Linked DNA regions of Caenorhabditis elegans. The protein of the gene in region 1 purifies or fractionates together with the protein of each later gene. This does not show direct contact. Each region holds a gene or a part of one and is shown on either strand. Other genes may lie near its edges.

Region 1 (4,780 bases):
CATCATTGATAGCGAAGAGTCCACTTCTTCAAGGTATTTATTTAAGTTTTTCATCAATTCAAGCAATAATATAAATTTAAGTTACCGCCAACACGCCCGATCAAATTCGTCGGAATCTGATTCATACAGGAAACTCAATGATATTCTCTCGCAAATTAATAGCCTTGGAATCGGTTCCGCATATCGAGGACCGCAGAGATATCAGAATTCTTATCAATTGTCGAAGCAGAAGGAGGATAAACTTCTAGAAGAGGCTCGGATACGAGAAGGACATCGCTCTCAAACAAGAGGTGATCGATTGGAAGATGTTCGGAAGAGACTTGAATTGCAAGGAATCGCTATTCGTCCGAAGGTGGAGAAGAAGAAAGTTGATGATTTTATGGCTTTACCTGATGCTGCTGATGCTCTTGTAGAAAGAGCATGGAGCGGAGGGAATCCAAATGAACAATTTGTGGATGCATTCAGCATTCAGATCTGTAAAAAAGATCTTGCAACATTGAGTGGATTGCATTGGCTGAATGATGAGATCATCAATTTCTATCTTCAATTGATTTGTGATCGGAGCAATGGCGATTCGAAATATCCAAAGATCTATGCATTCAACACATTCTTTTATTCCAATATTGTTTCAAAAGGATACGCGAGTGTGAAACGATGGACAAGAAAAGTCGATATCTTTGCATTCGACATCGTTTTGGTGCCAGTTCATCTTGGAATGCATTGGTGTATGGCTGTTATCGATATGGGCGAAAAGAAGATTGAGTTTTATGACTCTCTTTATGATGGAAATACAGCCGTTTTGCCAGCATTGCGGTTAGTTTTTTGAGTGTTTTTGGTTTTTATTTAAAAAACTCACAGAGAATATATCAATAAATATTTTATATTTCAGAGGTTACTTGGAAGCTGAATCATTGGATAAGAAAAAGACAGCAATGAACTTTTCTGGATGGACAATTCAACAGATGACGGTATATTGAATTTTAAAAAAATTAAATAAAAAAAAGGATTTTTACTTTAAATTTATTTCTGAAAAAAAGTTTTTTTTTAGAAGTCCAGATGTTTGGCTCAATCACTCTTTTTTTGATATCTATGCTCTCTAAAACAACCAGTAATACTTCTGAAATTACACACACAAAAAGATCTTCAACACGCGATAATCATCTTGTTTAGGACATTCCTCGTCAACAAAATGGCAGTGACTGTGGAGTATTCTCATGCCAATTCGGTGAATGGGCATCTCGACGAACGACGCCTCGCTTCACGCAGAAAAATATGCCATACTACAGAAAGCGAATGGTTTACGAGATTGTTTCGAAGAAGTTACTCGCAACTATTTGATTCTAGAAGATTAAAAGTGTCATAATTCATAGTTTTGTTTCCGGAAAAGTAGCTGTAAAATGTATTTTCTTCTCATTGGGCATAATTAAAACTTATATTTTGTCGGTGTCGTAAGCCCGAATCATCTAGAAAGTCTTTAATTTTCTGTATTTCGAATTAACCATATTTCCCATTTTCGTAGCATTTCTTCATTATCCAAAATATCGTTGTGATTCTCATCACTAATTATAACTTTTGATTTCATTTCATACCGTGTAAAGAATGTTCATACAAAAGATTAAAGATGATCGACGGTGTCAGATCACATCACATTATCACTTGTCACGTGGTCATTCTCAGATGACGTTGTTTTGTTTCAAAAGGTGATGCAAACTTTCCCATCCCGTTTTTAAGATTTTTTTGTCTCTGTGGATCTCTGGCCTTTTTTCTCTTTTCTCTTTTTCATTCTTCCTTTTATCCGAGTTTTATTTGATTTTTGACGTATTTATTAACAATTTTCTCTCCCTTCCACCTTTCAATTCCCAGTTCAATAATATCAATCAGCTTTCTCTGTTATATCAATATATTTCACTCCCGATCCCCGTCACCATTGCAAGTTGCAATAAATACAATTTCTTCACTTTTTTTTCGTTGAAATTTATTTTTTTTTCTTCTTGGTTTTATTTTCAACCTCATGGTTATATATTTTGAAGTTTATACAGATTCAATGTTTTATTTTCTAAACAGAGGAAATTTAAATCCTCCTTTATTGTGCTCATCGTGATCACAAAGTCACAAAAAATTTAACTTCCCAAAACCAAAAGAAATTGTCGTTTTGTTTTCCTCCTCACGACTCAAAAGTTAAATTTTTTGTTTTTTGGTCCGAAAAACCAACAAAACCAGCTATTTAGCAAACAAGAAAAAATGATCGTGATCTAAATTTTCTGGAAATTTTCAAAACCATTTCTTCCAATTTTTGTTATTTCAGAAAATAAAATAGATAGAAATATGCATGAAAGCGGTGAACCTACAACTGCAACGGGTGATGCTTCAGCCAATCATTTTAAAGATGGAATTATCGATTTATTGGCTGGAACAGCTGGTGGAATTGCCAACGTGTATGCTGGACAACCATTAGATACAGTTAAAGTAAAAGTACAAACATTCCCGAATCTCTATTCAAATTGGATTGTTTGTCTCAAGGATACTTATAAATTGGACGGAATTCGAGGACTTTACGCTGGTTTGTTATTTTTGTTTCGAAAATTTTGAGCTTAGTCTGGATTTCTGAATCTAAAAAAAGAAAAACAATCCTTTGTACTGAACACGTTCCATGCAACTATAAAAAAGAGTACTTCTTGAAGTAAAAATTCTCACCCTTTCTGGGAAGAACAATATAACGTGTTTTCAAAAAAAACCTTTTTTTGCAAAAGTTTCAGATTCTTTTTAAATAAAATACAATTTCTAAAAAGCTTCCAGAAAGCTCAGCAATTTTTTTGAACGTTTTATTTCAAATAACGTAGTTTTGATTTGGAAGTCGAGATGAAATCGAAAAAATCTTGAAAAATTAAATGTAACTTGATTTCTAAAATTCATATTTTTCAACATCCAGGAACTCTCCCAGCTCTAGCTGCAAATGTTGCTGAAAATGCAGTTCTCTTCACTGCCTATGGTTACTGCCAAAAAACAATTGCCACACTGAATGGACTCGAAGATGTCAGACAAATGACACCATTGGAAAATGCATTCTCCGGATCTCTTGCCGCAGTTTTTGCAGCTACCGTACTCTGTCCAACAGAACTTGTCAAATGTAAACTTCAAGCAGCTCGTGAAATGAAGAAGAAGTGTACACCATTCTCTGTTTGTCGGGATATCATGAAGGATACTGGTGTCCGTGGATTCTTTGTTGGAATGACTCCGACTCTTGCAAGAGAGGTTCCTGGTTATTTCTTCTTCTTTGGAGCCTACGAAACATGCCGTTTCTTATTGACTGATGAAGGACAGAAAAAGGAAGAAATTGGACTTGTGAAGACAGCAATGGCTGGATCAGTTGGTGGTATGGCATTATGGACATCCATTTATCCAGCAGATGTCGTTAAATCGAGAATGCAAGTCACCGGAGGAGGAACTTTTATGTCTACTTTGGGCGCTGTCGTTAAAGAGAATGGTAAGTCATTATTGAGGGATAATTAATTCAATTTCTTATAAAAATTCAATTTTACAGGAATTCGTGGACTCTACAAAGGACTTCTACCAACCAATCTAAGAACTTGCTTCGCTTCTGGATGTCTTTTCGTCGCTTATGAAGAGACACGAAAGTTCTTCCACTACGTCCTCTAGATTATATTAATCTCTGCCTAGTAAATTTTTCAATTTTTCCTCATTTTTTCTTTCCATCACACAAATATCATCATGCTATGAGAGCTTTCTTCGTTGTTTCTCTTAATGTTTTTTTTCGGTTTCTAACGGTTACTCTGAGATTGCCATAGGCTCACTTACGCCCGGTTGTTGTTTTCTAAATTTTTTAATAAAAATTGTTTTTTTTTGTTATATTTAACCTTCAAAAATCCTAAATGTAATGAACATTTGTTCATAGTCACTTATTTATCTGCTTCTAACACTGGCCAATGCTTCTAATGATCTACAACTTTCTAAAGTCAAAAATCTTCCAGTTCATGTTCTCTAGTTGCTGGTTAAAAAGCAGCGTCCGATACTCGCGGTTAATAAGACAATTTTCATCGGAAAATTCATTTTTCAAGGTGAGAACAGATATCAAATTAGGTAGTGAGATTGAGGTCTCATCACGAATAGCTGGGCAAATCCTGTTTCTTTTTACACTCGCGCATGATCTCGTTGTCCATGCGGAAGTGAATCTTGTCGTCAGTATATCGGACTGAAGACACAATCGGCTAAATTGTTTTTCCTTTTTCTGTGAGAATTTATTATTTTCTGAAAGTTAAAAAATTTTAATACCTTTTTTAGAAGCTTAAAACAAAAATTTCAAACTTTGATGTAAATATCATTAATAAAAATGGTGTGAAATTGTTATTGTTGATCCGCAATTTAGCGGAAACGGTGTGCATGTACAAACAAATTCAAACATGATGAAATCTGACAGCCTTGCATTTCATTTTCTTTGTGTTGAATTTCGCAATGTTTTTTTCCTGAAAACTTCGCTAGATTTCGCTGGTTCTCCAGTAATTATATGAAAAGGGTTTGAAAGTTTTAATGCTTTTTGAAAATTTTAATGCTAATACCATTATGCTTAATTTGCTTTTTTAAATGAAAACTTTCACGTCCCTCTTGGATTTGTCTCTCTGCCGTCTACAATCTCTTTCTCGTGTTGATAGGGCGCGCTTGCATTTTTACAATTTTTCTTAATTTATTTCTGAAAAAAAAACTAAATACTTTCTTTCTTTCCGAAATGCTTAATTCATATCTCCTGAATTTTGTTTTCTAATAG
Region 2 (6,078 bases), on another chromosome or scaffold:
ATATTTCATGTTATTATTTCCCCGCGCCGCCGCCGAGCTGCGAGAAACATCGCGTGTCGCATACCTTTTTTGTTAGTAGTTCTGATAAGAAAATCGATTTTTAGTACACGTATAGTCATTTCTAACGTCATTTTGTGGCAGAAAACTGCTGATTTTTCATTTCGTAAGTCGTATTTTTTGCCCAAAATAGTGGAGTTTTTCAACAAAAATTTAATTTTTAGGTTGTTTGCCTACAAAAAATCGATTTTTTGTTTAAAAAGTGATTTTTTCCGCTAATTTTTTTTATTTTTAAGTCGTTCAAAACCCGGGGTTTTTGAGAAAATATTCACTAAAATTCAATTTTAATCAATTACCAGCCGGAACTTTCAAGTCTTCCGGTCATTTTCCAGCTAAAAATTTAAATTTCGCATCAAAATTGCTTGGATCGCTTCGAGACCCAACGGGGAAATAAATCCATGCGCCTTTAAAGTCGCAATACATTTCGGAATTTTAAGCCGATTTTTACCAAAACAAACGAGTTTTCGCTCATTTTTCATAGAGAAAAAAAAAATTTTTCGGAAAATTATTCTAATTTTTAAAGTATATTCTCAAGAAATTCCTCTAACTACTAGAAAATCGGAATTTTCCGATCAATCTTCCACACATCTCTCCCTGGCCACCCATTTTCCCACCGTCGCCGCAATCAGATTAGAGCTCACAGCGGAGAGAGCGAGAGTGCACAAAAACACGAGAGACTCAGAGACAAAAAACTGTGTGTAGGGGGCGCTGCGCCGCGGTGACACGAGGAATCGGGGACGCGGCGCGAGAGTGACAGTAAATGTCTATGTGCAAATTAATGTGACGGTGTTTGCGGCGGCGGCGGCGGACGTCATTTTTTTCACCTCTATCTCTCTTCTTTTTCTTCTTTTCACCCAGAAATGTTTATTTATTCAGTTTTTTTTTCAAACTTTTTCAAAAAAAAAAAAAGTTTTTTTTCATCGATTGAGTCACTTTTTAGGCATAAACACCCCAGAAACCAAACCTCGCGGCTCGTGTACTCCCCGAGAAGGTTTTTCGGTTTTTTTTTGCTAAAATTCTTGATTTTGAATTTTTTGTTCAGTTTTTAAGTATATTTTCTGGAAAAATTCAGTTTTTTTACTAATTTTTCCACTAGAAGTACGCGAGTTTGGTTTATTCACGAAAAACGTGACTGCAGCAACAAAAAAAGCACGAACGAATTCCAGGAATCGCTCGCCGCCTCGAGTTTAGTTTTATGAGAGTGGCGAGAGCATTAGAGAGCCTAGTCTTCTGATTTTGTTGTACTTCCGGCTTTCTTTTAGACTTTAATTTCAGGGGATTCCTGCCTCCTTTTCTGCAAAAAAATTGTTGAAATTTTCAACAGTTTCTAGTAAAAAATTTGAAAAAACTTTGTTTTTCACGAAAAAACCTTCCGAAATTCCTCTAAAAACCAATAATTTGAAGCTAAAAATCTCCGAAAAAGACAACAAAAAAATCTTCGATTTTAAAAAATTAAAGGCGCATGGAATTAAATTTACACTTGGGTCCCGAAACGATTATTACAGAATTATTAGAATTTTGCATAAAAATTTCATTTTAATGAACGAAAAACGAATTCTTTGAGAGATTTTTTGAAAAATAAACAAGTTTCCCGCAAATTAATTGGTGAAAATTCTCGATTTCTTATTAAAACTCTAAAAAAACACGGCAAAAATCAAAAACTACAGTAACCTCACTTTAAAGGCGCATACACTGTTCTGGCGGAATATCGGAGCGTCGTTGCCTTCGATTTTTTTTTAATTTTGAAAACAATTTTGCCAAACTTCAAAACTTAACCGCAAAACAAACCCCAAAAATTGACCTTCACATCCCCGGCGCCTAGTTTTCAAATTCGCGCCGCTGCAACGGAGCGCGTTTGCATTTTTCTCCCCCCCCCCCCCATCGCAATTCACACAATGACTCACCCGCGGGCCGCTACTTTTTTATTCAGTTCTGAGCGAATTTCGCAAATTTTCACGCAGAAATTTCGATTTTTAGGCTGAATTTCGCCCAAATTTAGGCCCAAAATCCGTGTTTTGCCGTATAATCCAGACTAAAAACGAATTTTCACTAGAATTTCGCAAATTCATCATAATAACCTAATTTATAGGGATATATCGAATATTTTATGCCTAAAAATATAATTTTAACGCAAAAATTGCTTGTATTATTCGTTATTCGTGTGTTGCCTTGAAAAAACCATTGAGTTCAAATTTGGCCTATTTTTCCCTTTTTCCCGCCTAAAATTAATATTTTCCTTGAATTTAAATTATTTCTTCATTTCTCAGCCGAAAAAATCTAAATTTTGTCTAAATTTCCAAAATAAAGCTGCGATTTTCAGAGAATTTACTGGAAATCCCGGATTTTTACCGATTTTTTCAAATTTTTCACTGAAAAACTTGAATTGCAAGCCAATTTTTCGCGTTTTTCAGGTAACGAAACACACAACGAATGTCAGATGACACATCGGCATCCGTCTGGAACGATGGCGGCCCTCCAGTTCGTTTTTCACCCGATTTCACCCATAAAATTTGGTTTTTTTTCAGGAAATTCAGGAACAAAAGCCAAAAAGCCCACCGCCGCCACTGCCTACATCGAATCCAGTAGTCAAAGATACTCCAAATGGTTCGAAAATAGCGAAAATTTAGGCTAAAAAACACGAATTTTCAGTAGTACCCACCGGCGATCTAATTCAGTTCGAAAGTGAGGAGGAGCGGGCGGCGACGACAGTTCCCAACGGAAATCCTGTGATTTTCGAGAAAAATCCGGCGATGGATGGGCTTTTGCGCGAATTTCTGAAGGAAGAGGAGGCCTACACGCCGCAGGACTATTTGCGCAGATTTTATGTACGGATTTTGGTCGAATTTAGGGAATATCCAGCGAAATTCTACGATTTTCGACGATAATTAGCCAAAGTTTGGTCGAATTTTAGCGATTTTCGAGCCAAATTCTGTCAATTTTCGGTCGAAACTTTTTTCAAAACGAAAATCACAGATTTTTGACACTTTTCGCCAAAATTTGGTCATTTTCACTGGTTTCCACACAATTTTTCTCCGATTTTTGACGAGTTTCTCAACAAAAAAACTATTTATAGCGAATACTGCCAAAATTCTGGAAATTTTTCGCAGATTTCGATTTATTCATGACTTTTTCCCTAGAAATATAGCCAATTTCGAGAATTTCCGGCAATTTTTGTCTAATTTTAACGATTTTCCTCATTTTTTTCCGTTAAATTATGGCAATTTTCTACTTTTTTTGCCGAGAATAGACAGTTTTGTTAATTTTTATAGGTTTTCAAGCATTTTTAGCGAATTTCTCGAATATTTAACCTCATTTTAATGGAATTTTGACAGTTTCGACGAATTCTGTCGATTTTTTGCACTTTTTCGCCAAATTTTGCACCATTTTCAACGACTTAAATAGATTTTAAGCAATTTTCACTTGATTTTTGGTGATTTTAGGGTCGATTTCAGCCAGTTTTCCCCCATTTTCCACCTGATAAAAACCCACAAAAATCGATTTTTTTTCAGCAAATCCGAGTGGAACAGGAAAAACTGCGAATGGAAGCCGAATATCGGTCAGAGTGTGCCGTCGCACCGCAACATTATGCTCGAAATCGATATCGCGACATTTTGCCGTGTAAATTTTTGATTTTCATCGAATTTTTCGCCAAAAAGTGTGGTATAGCGTCATTTTCAAGCAGGAAAAGCGAGAATTTTGACACTTTTTTTTTGGGAAAAATCGCATAAAACTGTGTGTTTTTTTAAAAAAAAGGATTAAAGGACGATCCGTTCTTCAAGTGCTTTGCACTGCGGATCTGGGATTCAGGTACATTGCCTGGTGGTGATCCCTCTGGGCTGTAATTTAAGCCACGTCTTAGCCGGGGACTGTGGCCGATAATCCAGTCGTGGATTGCTCCACTTCCCAATAGAGGCTGGGTGAACCTAGGGGTGAGGCCGGACTTGAACTCGTGACCTCCAGACTGCTAGCGGCCACCACTACCGACTGAGCTATCTGCCTCCCATTTCAGAAAAATCGAGAATTTCTTTAAATTTGACCAAAAAAAAATATTTCAGATTGCAAAAATATTCAAAATTCACGAAATTTGAAGCCTTCTGGCCATTTTTAGCAAAAAATCCGCAATTTTTTTCTGAAAAAATTTTTTAATGCAATTAAATACGTTTTTATTGACGTTTTCACTGATTTTTTTTTTGTTTAATAAAAAAATTGACCAAATTTGATGAAATTTCTCAAAAATTTTCGAATTTTGACGACGCTATACCCATTTTAATTAACTCTAAAATTTGAAATAAAAAAAATCCGTTTTTTTCCAATTTTTAAGCACAAATTTCGCCATTTCAGATGACAAAAATCGTGTGGAAATCCAAAAAGACAGTGAAAACCCCGAAGGATATATGAACGCTTCACTAATTCAATTGCCTGGTGGAAAAACTGAATTTATTGCGGCACAGGCTCCGCTACCGGCTACACTCGACGAATGGTATAGGCTTATGGAGCTCAAAAATGAGCATTTTTAGCTTGAAAATGCAGGATTTTGTGTAAAAAAATTAGTTTTTCATGTTAGCTCCGAAGCAGCAAACATTTCTGACAAAAAAGGACAATATCAAGCCAGAAATTGAAATTTTTAATAGAAAACTCCAAAAACCTCCGAGCATTTTTTAATTATTTAAATGAAATTTTGAAGATTTTATCTTCAAAATCGAACAAAATGAAACTTTAAAATAAATTATTTTTCAGAAATTTTTAGGATTTCTTGAGAATTGAAAAAAAAACAAGGAAATGATGAATTTCAAGTGAAAGTTGCAATTTTTCAGTTAAAAATAAATTGAAAATAAAAAATGAAAAACGAAAAATTTCAGTTTTTCCGTTGAAAAATCTACATTTCAAGTAAAAAGCAGCCTCCGAAACTTCCACATTGAATTTTTTTTATTAAAAAAAAATTAAAAAACGAATAAAAAGTTCCCCTAAAATTTCTTAAATTCACTATTTTGCTACTTTTTCGATTAAAAAAACACTTTTTTCTGTAAGAAAAACTCTGAAATTGATGGATTTTATTACGGGAACACATAATTCTTAGAATGCGTATTGCACAACATATTTGACGCGCAAAATATCTCGTCGCGAAAACTACAGTAATTCTTTAAATGACTACTGTAGCGCTGTTGTGTCGATTTACGAGCTCGTTTTTTTAAGCAAAACATGAGAGAATAATACGAAAAAAAAAAGGAAAATCGCTGTCACTATTCGAAAAATAAATTCATTTTGAAAATCGAGCCCGTAAATCGACACCAACGCTACAGTAGTCATATAAAGAATTACTGTAGTTTTCGCTACGAGATATTTTGCGCGTCAAATATGTTGTGCAATACGCATTCTCAGGATTATGTGTTCCGGTAATAAAATCCATCAATTTCAGAATTTTTCTTCTAGAAACAGTGTTTTTTATTCGAAAAAGTAGCCTGGGAAATGCTGATTTTCGGTGTAAAATTTTTTGTCGATTTTTTTGCGCGGGAGTTCAAAAATAATTTATAATTTTTTTTTGTAAAAGTAATTTAAAAAAACGCTTTTATCGTCATTTTATGGCTGAAAATTCCAATTTTTCAGGATTTAAAGGTGGACCACGCTCAGTGGCGAAATTGCTTTAAAACACGCCTATGGTACCACAATGACCGAATATCATGATTAAAAAATTCAAAAAAATTTCCCTGATTTTATATGATTTTTTGGAAATTGGAAAAATCTCAGTTTTCCTCCAAATCATATTTGAATTTCCGCCAATTGAATTCGTTCGGTGGAGCGCACTTGCATTATTTTTATTAATTTATTATATTTTCTCATTATCTCACTGATTTTCTTCATTCTTTGTGTATTTTTAACGGAAAAAGAGAGAAAAATACATGATAAATGCAAATTGTTTATTAAAAATCACTGAAAATGGGTGAAACTGTGAAATAAGCTAATTTCAGGCTTGCTTTATCGTCGGAACTCATAATTTTACAGTTTCACTCATTTTCAGTGATT

Evidence for each region. Proteins that work in one complex are often made in the same cells at the same time.
Region 2: the proteins of T10F2.2 (region 1) and ptpn-22 fractionate together in Caenorhabditis elegans (co-fractionation; one large-scale study listed by BioGRID). This does not show direct contact.

The regions. Positions count from the first base shown.
Region 1 is NC_003281.10:5,162,837-5,167,616, reverse strand, and holds T10F2.2 (Mitochondrial ornithine transporter 1), read left to right. Parts: upstream 1-2,305; 5' UTR 2,306-2,325; coding exon 2,326-2,560; intron 2,561-2,929; coding exon 2,930-3,484; intron 3,485-3,541; coding exon 3,542-3,657; 3' UTR 3,658-3,858; downstream 3,859-4,780. Other genes in the region: ulp-1 (Sentrin-specific protease), read left to right, coding at 1-33, 82-813, 890-968, 1,171-1,338; gars-1 (Glycine--tRNA ligase), read left to right, coding at 3,993-4,076.
Region 2 is NC_003282.8:1,734,275-1,740,352, reverse strand, and holds the start of ptpn-22 (Protein-tyrosine-phosphatase), read left to right. Parts: upstream 1-2,468; 5' UTR 2,469-2,487; coding exon 2,488-2,535; intron 2,536-2,582; coding exon 2,583-2,661; intron 2,662-2,706; coding exon 2,707-2,882; intron 2,883-3,566; coding exon 3,567-3,675; intron 3,676-4,398; coding exon 4,399-4,537; intron 4,538-6,078.